3 linked regions of the Danio rerio genome follow. The main gene of each other region encodes a partner of the protein of the gene in region 3 in a complex. Links are inferred from orthologs where the notes say so. Each region holds a gene or a part of one and is shown on either strand. Other genes may lie near its edges.

What was found.
Region 1: the proteins of snap29 (region 3) and stx17 are in contact, whole or in part, in a crystal structure (PDB 4WY4), measured with the Homo sapiens proteins. The link is inferred for Danio rerio from reciprocal best matches to the Homo sapiens genes SNAP29 and STX17. Residues at the interface, in NP_004773.1 of Homo sapiens: Arg52, Thr56, Ser59, Thr60, Arg62, Ser63, Leu66, Glu69, Ser70, Val73, Gly74, Ser77, Glu80, Leu81, Gln84, Val87, Leu88, Thr91, Met94, Val95, Lys97, Met98, Asp101, Leu102, Ile104, Ser105, His108, Ile109, Ser111, Ile112; in NP_060389.2 of Homo sapiens: Glu170, Trp172, Glu173, Leu175, Glu176, Leu179, Ile180, Ser183, Val186, Thr187, Phe189, Ser190, Val193, Asn194, Gln196, Gln197, Ile200, Ile203, Ala204, Val207, Asn208, Ala210, Ala211, Val214, Glu215, Thr218, Leu221, Gly222, Ala224, Ala225.
Region 2: the proteins of snap29 (region 3) and vamp8 are in contact, whole or in part, in a crystal structure (PDB 4WY4), measured with the Homo sapiens proteins. The link is inferred for Danio rerio from reciprocal best matches to the Homo sapiens genes SNAP29 and VAMP8. Residues at the interface, in NP_004773.1 of Homo sapiens: Leu206, Leu209, Ser210, Leu213, Leu216, Lys217, Ala220, Leu221, Met223, Gln224, Ile227, Glu228, Gln230, Asp231, Leu234, Leu237, Thr238, Val241, Asp242, Leu244, Asp245, Ile248, Lys249, Thr251, Glu252, Val255, Arg256, Leu258; in NP_003752.2 of Homo sapiens: Leu16, Glu19, Val20, Val23, Ile26, Met27, Gln29, Asn30, Arg33, Ile34, Arg37, Asn40, Leu41, Leu44, Lys47, Thr48, Asp50, Leu51, Thr54, Ser55, His57, Phe58, Thr61, Ser62, Val65, Lys68, Phe69.

What each region holds. Positions count from the first base shown.
Region 1 is NC_133191.1:30,526,108-30,528,888, reverse strand, and holds the end of stx17 (syntaxin-17), read right to left. Parts: intron 1,236-2,781; coding exon 999-1,235; 3' UTR 508-998; downstream 1-507. UniProt on the Homo sapiens protein: SNAREs, soluble N-ethylmaleimide-sensitive factor-attachment protein receptors, are essential proteins for fusion of cellular membranes.
Region 2 is NC_133180.1:28,878,250-28,882,530, reverse strand, and holds the start of vamp8 (vesicle-associated membrane protein 8), read right to left. Parts: upstream 2,958-4,281; 5' UTR 2,875-2,957; coding exon 2,848-2,874; intron 1-2,847. UniProt on the Homo sapiens protein: SNAREs, soluble N-ethylmaleimide-sensitive factor-attachment protein receptors, are essential proteins for fusion of cellular membranes.
Region 3 is NC_133183.1:3,058,473-3,062,612, reverse strand, and holds the start of snap29 (synaptosomal-associated protein 29), read right to left. Parts: upstream 2,956-4,140; 5' UTR 2,879-2,955; intron 1,079-2,878; exon of another isoform or gene 1,050-1,078; 5' UTR 1,049-1,049; coding exon 800-1,048; intron 1-799. UniProt on the Homo sapiens protein: SNAREs, soluble N-ethylmaleimide-sensitive factor-attachment protein receptors, are essential proteins for fusion of cellular membranes.

The sequences.
Region 1 (2,781 bases), on a different chromosome or scaffold from region 3:
TTGCTTTAAAATAAAATAAGACCATAAGAAATAACATTTCATTTCCACACTTATAGTAAAATATCGCAAATAATTACCCAAAAAGTAAAATGTTTTCTTCAATGTGCAGTTATAACTGAACTAACCTTACACTGAATATTTTGCCACAAAAAATGTAACAAAAATAATATATAAACAAATAATTTGACTTCTCTATAGTTATCCATTATGAATATTAAGTGTTATCACAAGGCATTGAAGTCACTTTGAAATTGTATTGATTGAAAGCACCCTGAGATGATCTGAAATGTCTATCAAAATATCATTATGGCAAAGTAAGTAAAAGGTTATAAGCAAGTTATGGAAACAATGTTATTTTTCATTTTATAATTTCTATTAATGATTGTTTATAGTTTATAATGTTAATTCTTAAAGTGATTCTCACTACTATGCATTGCCAAGACCTTATAAAGTACCCATCATCATCTATTCATAACCCATTGACAAAAATAAAAGACAATCTCAGCCTTTCATCCCAATTGTATGCGTTTTATAATGGAATTATACGTGATAATATAATTTTAGCACAAAAAAACCTACATAATTGTTGTAAACAGGAGTATGTCACCTACCACAGATGTTCACCATGTATAATAGATCATACTGTACAATAGTTTGAAATAAGAGAATCTAGCACAGTCGTACCCGCCTTGTACATCCATAACCTAGAATCTCTAACCACTTCTAACACTTCTATTACTGCTTCAAAGGTCAATCAGCTGTTTAGCAGCAGATCATATGGCCCTGTTTGCTTTGGCATAGAACAAAATGTTGAATTAAGGCAAAAGGGAAATTAGCAGGTCCACTTGCATGTGCATGTTTGCACTGCATGTAGGAGTTACTGTGCAGATGTGGTTGATTTCTGCATGTACGTTCACGAGCGTCTGCTGTTTATTTGAGAACACGCGTGGGTCGTCTAAGTCTGCCGTCTCATGGATTCCTCCACGAAAACAAACGTGTCACTGAGTGTCGTTCTTACTGTTGTTGTTGCTGTGAAGCTCTTGTAGCTGCAGGTCGATTCTTTCTTTCCTTTTGCGTTGGATCAAGTTTCCGCCGGCAAAACCAAGCAGTCCACCTCCAAAGGCAGCGGCGACCCCCGCCACTTTAAACCCTGCTAAGAGTCCCAGCGGCCCCCCTAACACTCCCCCGACCACCGCTCCTGCCACCGGCAACACTGCCAGCTTCGCACGGGCCGCCTGCACAGAAATAGAGCACATATAGAGATAGATAAACATCATGATATACAGGGCTCAGCATAATTGAGTACACCCCATTTTGAAAATGAATATTTTTATCCATTTCTTAGAGAAGATAGGATATGGATTTTTTGGTGCAGTTAAACAAACTGATTTATCAAACAGATACATTTATTAAAATAATATTTAGTCACCAAACATATTTAGAAATTGAAAGGTAATACAATAAAAAAAAATACATTTTTCTATTTTTTTGCTACTCTTATATTTTCCTCTTTTTGAAATTTGTATTTGTGACATAAATTTGATGTACTAGTTTTTAGACCGTTATCGTAAGTTATTTTGTTAGATAAGCACCAGATTTGGCTTCAGTACTGACTAATGTAATGTATATGCACAAATAATATTCTTTGTAGCTTTCTATAAAAAATATGAATTTAAAAGATAGATTTGTAAGGGATGTACTTATATATGCTGAGCCCTGTACATCATTAAACATCATTTATACATGTTAGCATATACAAAAATCCACCGTACAGGGGAAATTATTAATATTAATGATAATTGTCTACAATGTTATTTTGACAATAGTATATTAAATAATATTGAATCCCTTTACGATTATTATAAAAACAATGCCTATTATTATTATTGTTGTTATTATTATCTTCCTATGCTATAATTAAGATTTATATTAATATTTTTTAATATTTACAGTGGTTTTATAATAATAATAATAATAATAATAATAATAATAATAATAATAATAATAATAATAATATTGTTAGTATTATTATTAATAATAATAATAATAATAATAATAATAGTAATAATAATAATAATAATAATAATAATAATAATAGTAATAATAATAATAATAATAATAGTAAATATTATTATTATCTTCTATGACATATATTTCAAATCATTCAAATGATTTTTGAATGGTCATACTTTACATTTTTTAATAAATGTTTTTTATTTAATATAAAAATATATCTATTAATTTTAATTCAGCATTTTAAAAGATACATTTAAAAAAATCTCTAAAAAAATTTAAAGTTAGGATGTACATGTTTTTTTCTGTTTTATCAGTATAGTTATAATACTGACATTTTTTACTTCACACTTTAAAAAATAAAAAAATAAAAACTAATTTAATATTAATAAATAAAAATCCAAAAAGTAAAAAACATGATTATCATATTATCAAAGTGCATCCAAGTCAATGTTTGTAGTTTCTTCTCATATATATTTGAAACATCGTATAGAAAAAGAATCCTTGTGTCTCTGACCCACATGCAGTGTGTGTGTGTATGTGTGTGTGTGTATGTGTATGTGTATGAAAGCATCAGACAGGTGAGAAATGAATGATTTATGCAGCATCAATGTCCCAAAACAGCGTTTGAACTAACACACTTTTCATGTGCTGTTTTCCTGATAACCAAACAATTATAAACTCTTTCATGTCCAGTTTCCAGCAGAAACAGAAACATATCCAGAGTCATTTATAAACAAAATAATCAGAGATCTGGAGTGAAAAAAA
Region 2 (4,281 bases), on a different chromosome or scaffold from region 3:
CCTTTTTTATCTCTAGTTTGAAAGGGTTCTTTATAACACCTAAAATAAAATGTTTCATGTTTACATTTTTCCAAATAAATTCTCTCCATGAATCTGAATTACCTGTGATCATCTGTGTTTCAAAATAGTTAACCATTCCTTATTTGTTACAAGCATGTTCTTTTTAAAGTAAAGTTTATGAATGCTTTGGCAATACATTTCTTACAATTGTCATGCAAATAACACAATTATTGAATTTAATTGATTTGAATTGACAGAGAGAGAGAGAGAGAGAGAGAGAAAAAGAAAACTGCGTTATGCCAGAAGGCCAAATTATTTAGAAAAGAAAAAAGTACAGAAAACAGATTGTTAGTGCTAGAAGTAGATCAACCTCTATAGACAGTATTAGAACAAATAAAAGTGTATTTGAAGAAGAAAGTCAGAGCTAGGAAGTTTTATTTAAAAAGGATAAGATAGACATTTTTCCCAGAGATGGGTTGTGGCTGGAAGGGCATCCACTGTGTAAAAATGTGCTGGATAAGTTGGCGGTTCATTCCGCTGTGGCGACCCCAGATTAATAAAGGGACTAAGCTGACAAGAAAATTAATAAATGAAAGAAGATAGACATTAGATTAGAAAGTGTACGAAGGTCAACGGTATTACATAGAGTGCATTTTTAAGTACAAACATTAATGTTCAACATTGTCCATTATTGGTCAAGAGATATCGGAGCTTAGTACTACATTGGTTTACTAGAGAATTATATCAACTACTTTACAAATGTATTTATTTTTAATATACTGTATAATCTTAAATGTGCAGCACACAATTTGAATTTGGTTTAATAATTAATTTGATAATAATTTATTTGATCATTTGGTTTTTAGATGTTGAGCATGGAAAGATCCAATATATCCAACATGATGTGTACAGTATGTGTGCAACACTGCGATATATTTACACATGTAAAAGGCATGCAATAACATCAACATTCTTCTTCAAAAGTATTTACTGCTTTACTTAAAGTATTGTAAATTTGAAGTATTTTAGAGAAATGAAAAGTATTTTATGACATTGCATTAATAGGATTGGATGAATGCCAATTTTAACATTCTGAAATATAATTCAAATACAACAAACTGAATTTGTGTGACTCAATTGCATTTGACAGAATATTTAATCCAAATAAAAACAACTCCAAGACATCATACAGTATAATTCGCCTGTAGTGTAGATGTGGCACCTTATGTGTGATACTCGCAAAACCAAACAAGAAAGCCTAACCACATTCACACATTAAAGCACCAATAAAATACTGCTACACTTAAACATAGAACAAGTCTCATGGAAGCAATCTTTAGCCGTTAATTGTGCAATTTGTGTCTTAAGAGTAAACTCTCTGTGCTTTTTACACGTTCAGCCATTTTAAACACATTTAAGCTCTCCTGTTCGGCAGATACCTCATAAACAAAAGGAGTTACCAGGAAACCAAAAGCATTGTTGCGTCACTACCTGTCCTGCCCTTCTATTATACTCAATGGCTCTCTCTTTGTGTGTGTGTGTGTGTTGGTGTCACAAGACCTACAGGATGGCAGAAAGCTATTAGGTAACATCTGATACTGGCAGTTCGAGGTACCAATATTGTGGCAAAATAGTGTGATGTGTGCGATCCACTTTATAATGTGACAGAAACAACATGATAATTAAAAAGAATATAATTTGGTATTATGTGAACCGCAAGTATGTTTTGTTGAAACTGTTTTTTTTAATTAAAACTTAAATGTATCAAAGATATATAATGGGATAAACAATCATCTTCAATGAAAAGTTCACCCAAAAAAGAACATTTACTCACTATTTAGTCACCCTCAATTAGTTCCAAACCTTTGAGTGTCTTCTGTTGAAAGAAAGCCAAAAACATGTAACCACTGAATTCAATAGAAGGAAAAACAAATACTATGCAAGTCAATGGTTACAGGTTTCCAGCTTTTTTCAAAATACATATCTGTGTGTTTTATGTAAGAAAGAAAAATCAAACAGGTTTGCAACAAGGGTAAGTAATTTTCCATTTCTTAAACTTGAGTTTCTTTAATATTTGTATTAAACAACGACATGCTTGCTTCCTTCAAGGACCAGCATTCAAATGACAAATTGAATATATTATTTATTTAAAACACTACAGACAAACTTTATCTTAACCACAATGCCACATACATCGAAGTAACGTTAGTCTCTACACTGTGAGTGGAACTTGTGAAATGATTTTAAAACCAAGTGTTGACAGTTGACCAACCTGATCTGAAGCAAACGAGCAGGAGGACCTAACACTTCTGGTTCAGTTTAACAGTCAAAGAGATGTGTTATGTTATCAGCACATTTGCAAGCTGAAGTTATTGTGAATATATTTCTAAACTGAGGGCCCATTCAGTAAGAGTGGAGCTCAACAGTATCATGCAAACCGGTTATGCTTCGAAGCTCAAGGTAAATTCAATCCATCTGAGTAAACAAATCAGTACAAGAAAATTCCAATATAAACGGTACTAATCTCAAGTATAAATGTGTTATTTAAACATTACATTTGTATAAGATAACCAAGCAAATTATCTACATTTGCTGACAACAGGAACGTAGAAACTTAAGTAAAACTTGAAAAACAAGCTTCGCCCTGTTTGGAGTGCGTCAAACTAACACCAACCGGTGAAAAACAAGACACGCACACACACTGACTTGTTCTAATGTTTGCACCACTAAAAGTAACATTCGCACAGATATCAAGAGAAATTAAGTTCGCACAGTTTTGTTAACTATAAACTTAAAAACGATGCAACAAAAAGCACCTGCTGACTGTTGTTAAAATTAGTGACTTACCGTACTGTTTGGATCAGTTACACCCATAGTTTCACCAGCTTCTTTTTATTTACTCCACAATATAAAAAATACACGTTATCCTTTAGAATTAAAATGTTTGCAACTGTTTTCTAGTGTAACCGATAGATGTACGCCGTGTCAACACTTCCTGGTCTCTAATTCACTCTTCCTCCAGCAGCGAATGACTTGGCTTTGGCCCACCTCTGATGCGACACTTCCCATAGCATCCTCAAGATGGCGCCGGGTTCATCTCACAAACACACCTGTAAGGTGAGTGCAAATACTATAATCATGCCATCTAGACGTCTTCCCGGCAGGTATGAGAAGCGTCTTGTAAAACCGGATTAGAGTGAGTTTTCTAAAAGTACTGATGTGTGATTAAACTCAGTGGTATTTATAGAAGTTTATAATTTCAAGCATGATGAAAACTGCTTAAAAACAAAGTTAAAATAGTTCAATTCCTATGCATGAAACACAATACGTCTTCAACAACTCCACCTAAACGCCTTTGGCATTGCATGCATTTAAAGCATTATTCTATTTAAAAAAAAATCATACTAGACACAAAACCAAGCATAAATGTGACAACACGTTTTATTTTTGAAAATGGTATGTACAATACACATCTAAAAGAAACCTCAAAGTTAAGAAATTATGTTTTACAATTTAAATAATGCAATAAAAAAACAGTGACACTGAAAACAGCACATTAATATTTTTACTTTTTACTGAAGCTGCTAAAGTTATCAAAACGCTTGATTTTAAAAGCAAACATTATTCAAACTGCACCATGTTGAGTTTTTTCCTCTTGGTGAATGCTTCTGACATCTTTCACTTTCACTTGTGTGTGTGTATATATATATATATATCAATAAAAAAGTCTGTGGTTTGGTATTTCCCTGTACAACATTATCATAATCCTGACACCACCGTCATCATCCTCCTCCTCCTCCTCCTCCTCTTGGCTATACTGTTTTGTCCCGACATTTGTATTTTTACATGCCATGGAGAACAAAAGAAAGCGGATTTACATTTTGATACAAATGACAATTTGTGCATAAAAGATTTGTGTCAGATTTTCAGTGGCCTTGTTTAATGATGATATCAGTCATGCCATCAATTTTGTGCAGCTCCAAGTTCTGTTGATGGAAAGAACCACTTTTAGATTCACAGCAATTAAATACACAAACAATAGGTTTCTACATGCAGGTTACAAAAACAAGTTTAAACAAGACAGCATGCTAACAGTAAATCAACACTGAATATTTATTAGATCTTCGTCTATAGTAAGCGTTGAACTATTTTAAAGTACTCACTTTCTCATTAGCCAAGTGCAGAAGGGCCACGAAAGCCAAGGGTACTGACAGATTAGTAGCCATGGCAGAGGGAAGCCTACAAAAAAAAAAAATGTACAGTGAATGGATAAACAAAATT
Region 3 (4,140 bases):
AACTGATTTATTTTATTTTTGCCATGATGACAGTAAATAATGTCTTGACTAGATGCTAGTATTCAGCTTAAAGTGACATTTAAAGGCTTAACAAGATACTTGTGTGACATCCCTATGTGTATAATGAAGATGGTCAGTTGAGGTTATTCTGGAAGGAGCTATATTATGACATGCATTCTTAGCCTGGATGTAAAAAGTGCTTTATTTCTATTTATTTTTGATTATTATATTTAATTTTATTTTCTTTTTCTTATTATTTTTTTTATTTTTCTTCTCTCTTTATGCTGTTTTTCATTTTATAATTTCCAAAATTTGAGTACTTCTGTGTAGTAAATACACCTGACAATAATGTACGTAATTTTTATACAACTCAAGGTCACATACTGAGATACCAATGTACCTTGAAATGCTGTATGATTGTACTCAATTGAATGCTCACAGTAAACATAAAATTTAAATAAATAAATAAATAAATAAAGGCTTAACAAGGTTCATTAGGGAAAAGTTAGGGTAATTAGGCAAGTCATTGTTTTACAGTGGTTTGTTCTGGAGACAATCCAAAACTAATATTGCTTAAGGGGGCTAATAATACTTACCTTAAAATGGATTTAAAATTATTAAAAACTGCTTTTATTCTAGCCGAAATAAAACAAATAAGACTTTCTCTAGAAGACAAAATATTATAGGAAATACTGTGAAAAATTCCTTAGTCTAATCAACATAATTTGGGAAATATCTGAAGAAGAAATTCACAGGTGGAAGAATCATTCTGACTTCAACTGTATGTTCTTGGTCTCACCTCTGCGGTTTCAGCACCGACTTTCTCTGATTCGTAGATAAGTCCGAGCGAGCGGTGGCTGCTGTCCACGGCGGACTGAGCTGTACGCATCACTTCCTGCTGCAGCTGCCTTTGCCTTCTCTCTGCCGGACTCAGCGAACTCTCCTCCGGATCATCATCGAAGTTAAAGCCTCTCCTCGGAGCCGTGCGCGAGTCCTCTTCTTCATCATCATCAGCGAAAGGATTGTGGGATTTGGGGTAGGCAGACATCCTGTGCTGGAGCCAGAAGACAGAGCTGAGCTGTTCAACCAATAGATATATGCCAAATAGCAATGTTTACATGTAGTCCAATTAAGAATAATACTGTTTTAATTGACACTAAAAGTTCATTCATTCATTTTCCTTCGGCTTAGTCCTTTTATTAATCAGAGATCGCCACTGCAGAATGAACCGCCAACTATTCCAGCATTTGCTTTACACAGCGGATGCTCTTCCAGCCACAGTTCAATACTGGGAAACACGAACACACACTCACATACACTGCGGCTAGTTTAGCTTATTATATTCACTTACAGCGCATGTGGTTGGACTAGCCCACACCAACACAGGGAGAACTTGCAAACTACAAACGGAAATGCCAACTTACCAAGCCAGGGCTCAAACAAGCGACCTTCTTGCTGTGAGGCCACAGTGCTAATCACTGAGTCACAGTGCCGCCCACTAAAAGTTCAGATTGGTCCAAATATTGATTTCTTACCTCTTCTAAAATTATGTTAAAAAATATGGACCTTTTGGCTAATATATAGGTAATTGTTTGAGTAAAACCTTTTTTGTTCTGTAAATTATTGATGACAGACATTGTCGTTAAGAGATACATACATACCTAAATATAAATATATATATATATATATATATATATATATATATATATATATATATATATATATATACATTTGCTACAAAACTGCATTGGCTGTTTCAAATGCCAGTAGTTGATCAGTAGGTGCACTGTACAGTTAATGAAGAGAAAAGATGCAAATTGTAAAATGTCACAACATATGAAAAACAAATAATTAATAATTAAAAACATCTAACACAGCTTTTACATTGAGTATTGAAGCAAAAATCAATACTCAATAGCAAAAAAAAAAAAAAAACTTTGTGGCTGCTGTATTTTGTAGTTTATTTTGATACACTTTACCTTAAGATAATTGGTATTTGATTTAAAAATACATTTCAATGTATTTTGGCCCAGCCCTGTATAAATTAAAGAAAACACAACACTGTTTTACCAATAGAGGTAAAGTTAGTTTTATATTCACATATTCGTTCATTTAGCTGTCTTCATATTGTTTACCGTGTTACTTTGAATATGTATATGTATGCATGTAAGTATGACTTGAAAACAACATTAACACTGTTTATTTGACTGTGAACAATGTTGTACTTTCATTCATTGGCTGCTAATTTGATTTCGCTATTTAGAGTTTGCAAATAATACTTTGATGAAGTTATATTATTAGGGGAAAGTCCAAATGTGCGAATATAAAACCAACTTTACCTCTATGTTTTACCACAGTATATAGGAGTAATAAGCTAAAACATAAGGACCAAATAATACAGATATTTAAGCTGAAATAAAAAGGTTGTGGAAGATCAAAAGGTTGTACAATGCTAAATTTTAATTTGCTCTGCTGTAAAAGATTAAATATAAGGCAGATGTAGCTCTATAGCTAATGGTAAACGTTAAAAAGACGGTACTTTCTGTTAATAGTTAAATAGATCTTGATAAATGGACGAAGTTTGTCCTGAATAAACTATTATATCTGGCAAATGCTCACCGACAAACAATCATATATACAGACTGAGCATAATAACATTTACAACAGTTATTATCCTATATAATCTTCAACATTTAACGACATTTCAGGTGAATATGCTGTAGAAAGTCGCCTGTTACTGTTTTCTTTCTCGGCTATAGTACGTTATATTACCTAACACAGACTCTACAAATGACCTACGTTATATTTAATAACATAAATCGCGTGTTTAACATAACTCTCAAACTATATTTTGAACGTTTTATCGCTGAATTTGTACCTTTGGTCGCTGGAAAAGGTGAAGTGTTCTGTTCTGTTCTCCTGTTATCAGCTGACGCTTCTGCTCGGACGATTTCCGGTGGTGTCACGGTGACGTCATATATTGGCTCCACTTTGTCGCAACACTACTGATCTATAAATCATGTGTGCCAGATGACGATCCGTATGGATAGAGAACATAGAAAATAGTCATTCTATATAGAGATCAGTGTTTAAGCCCACGTTTGTACTTTTCTGTTTTTCCTTGACAGATAATAAACTGTAATTGTTCCAGAACAACAATAAAAGGCTAAATATTTAAAAAATTATTATTCATTTATTATTATTATTATTATTATTATTATTATTATTATTATTATTAATAATAATAATAATAATGATAAAAATATTAATAATAACAGCAAAAAACAAAACAAAAGTCATTATTAGTAGTATATAATTATTATATTTATTTTTAATAATTATTATTAATATTTATATACTTTTCTAAATTATAATATGAATGTATTATTATTGCTGTAAGTAATAAGTATTAAAATAATAACAATATATCATTTCTACTAATATTAACTGTGCTGCTTTAATTACGATTATGACTATTATGTTTATATTTTTATACATGTATTAATCATTATTTTTTATTGTTAAATTTAATAATAGTTAGATATTAATAATAGTTATTATATTTATTATTGTTATTATTAAAACATATCCATAAAACATAAACATATTAGTTATACCATATAATATTATATGATGTTTATCACGGTTAAACATCTATATTGTCCCTATAATTATTATCTATATTGTTTCTATAATTAATAATAGTTGATAAATTTATCTATTTTTTAATTTTACTTCTACTACTACGAATTGTCATTATTATTATTATTATTATTATTATTATTATTATTATTATTATTATTATTAATAATATTATTATTGTATTTTAACTAGTATTATTGTATTTGTATTGTAATAAAACATTTTTTAATTATTTTCAATCTTTTATAAACCACTTTACATATTATATATAATATAATATGATGTTTAATTATACATTTATACCCAATTTATACTAATTAAATATACTATTGTAATGATAATTATAATAATTAGCAGTGGTAATTAGAGCAATAATAATTTATTTCATTATTTATAAATTATTAATAACTATTAAGAAAGCTTTACTTTACTAAACATTGAATATAAAATAAAAAATATATTATTTATTATTATTATTGTTATTATTATTACTTTACC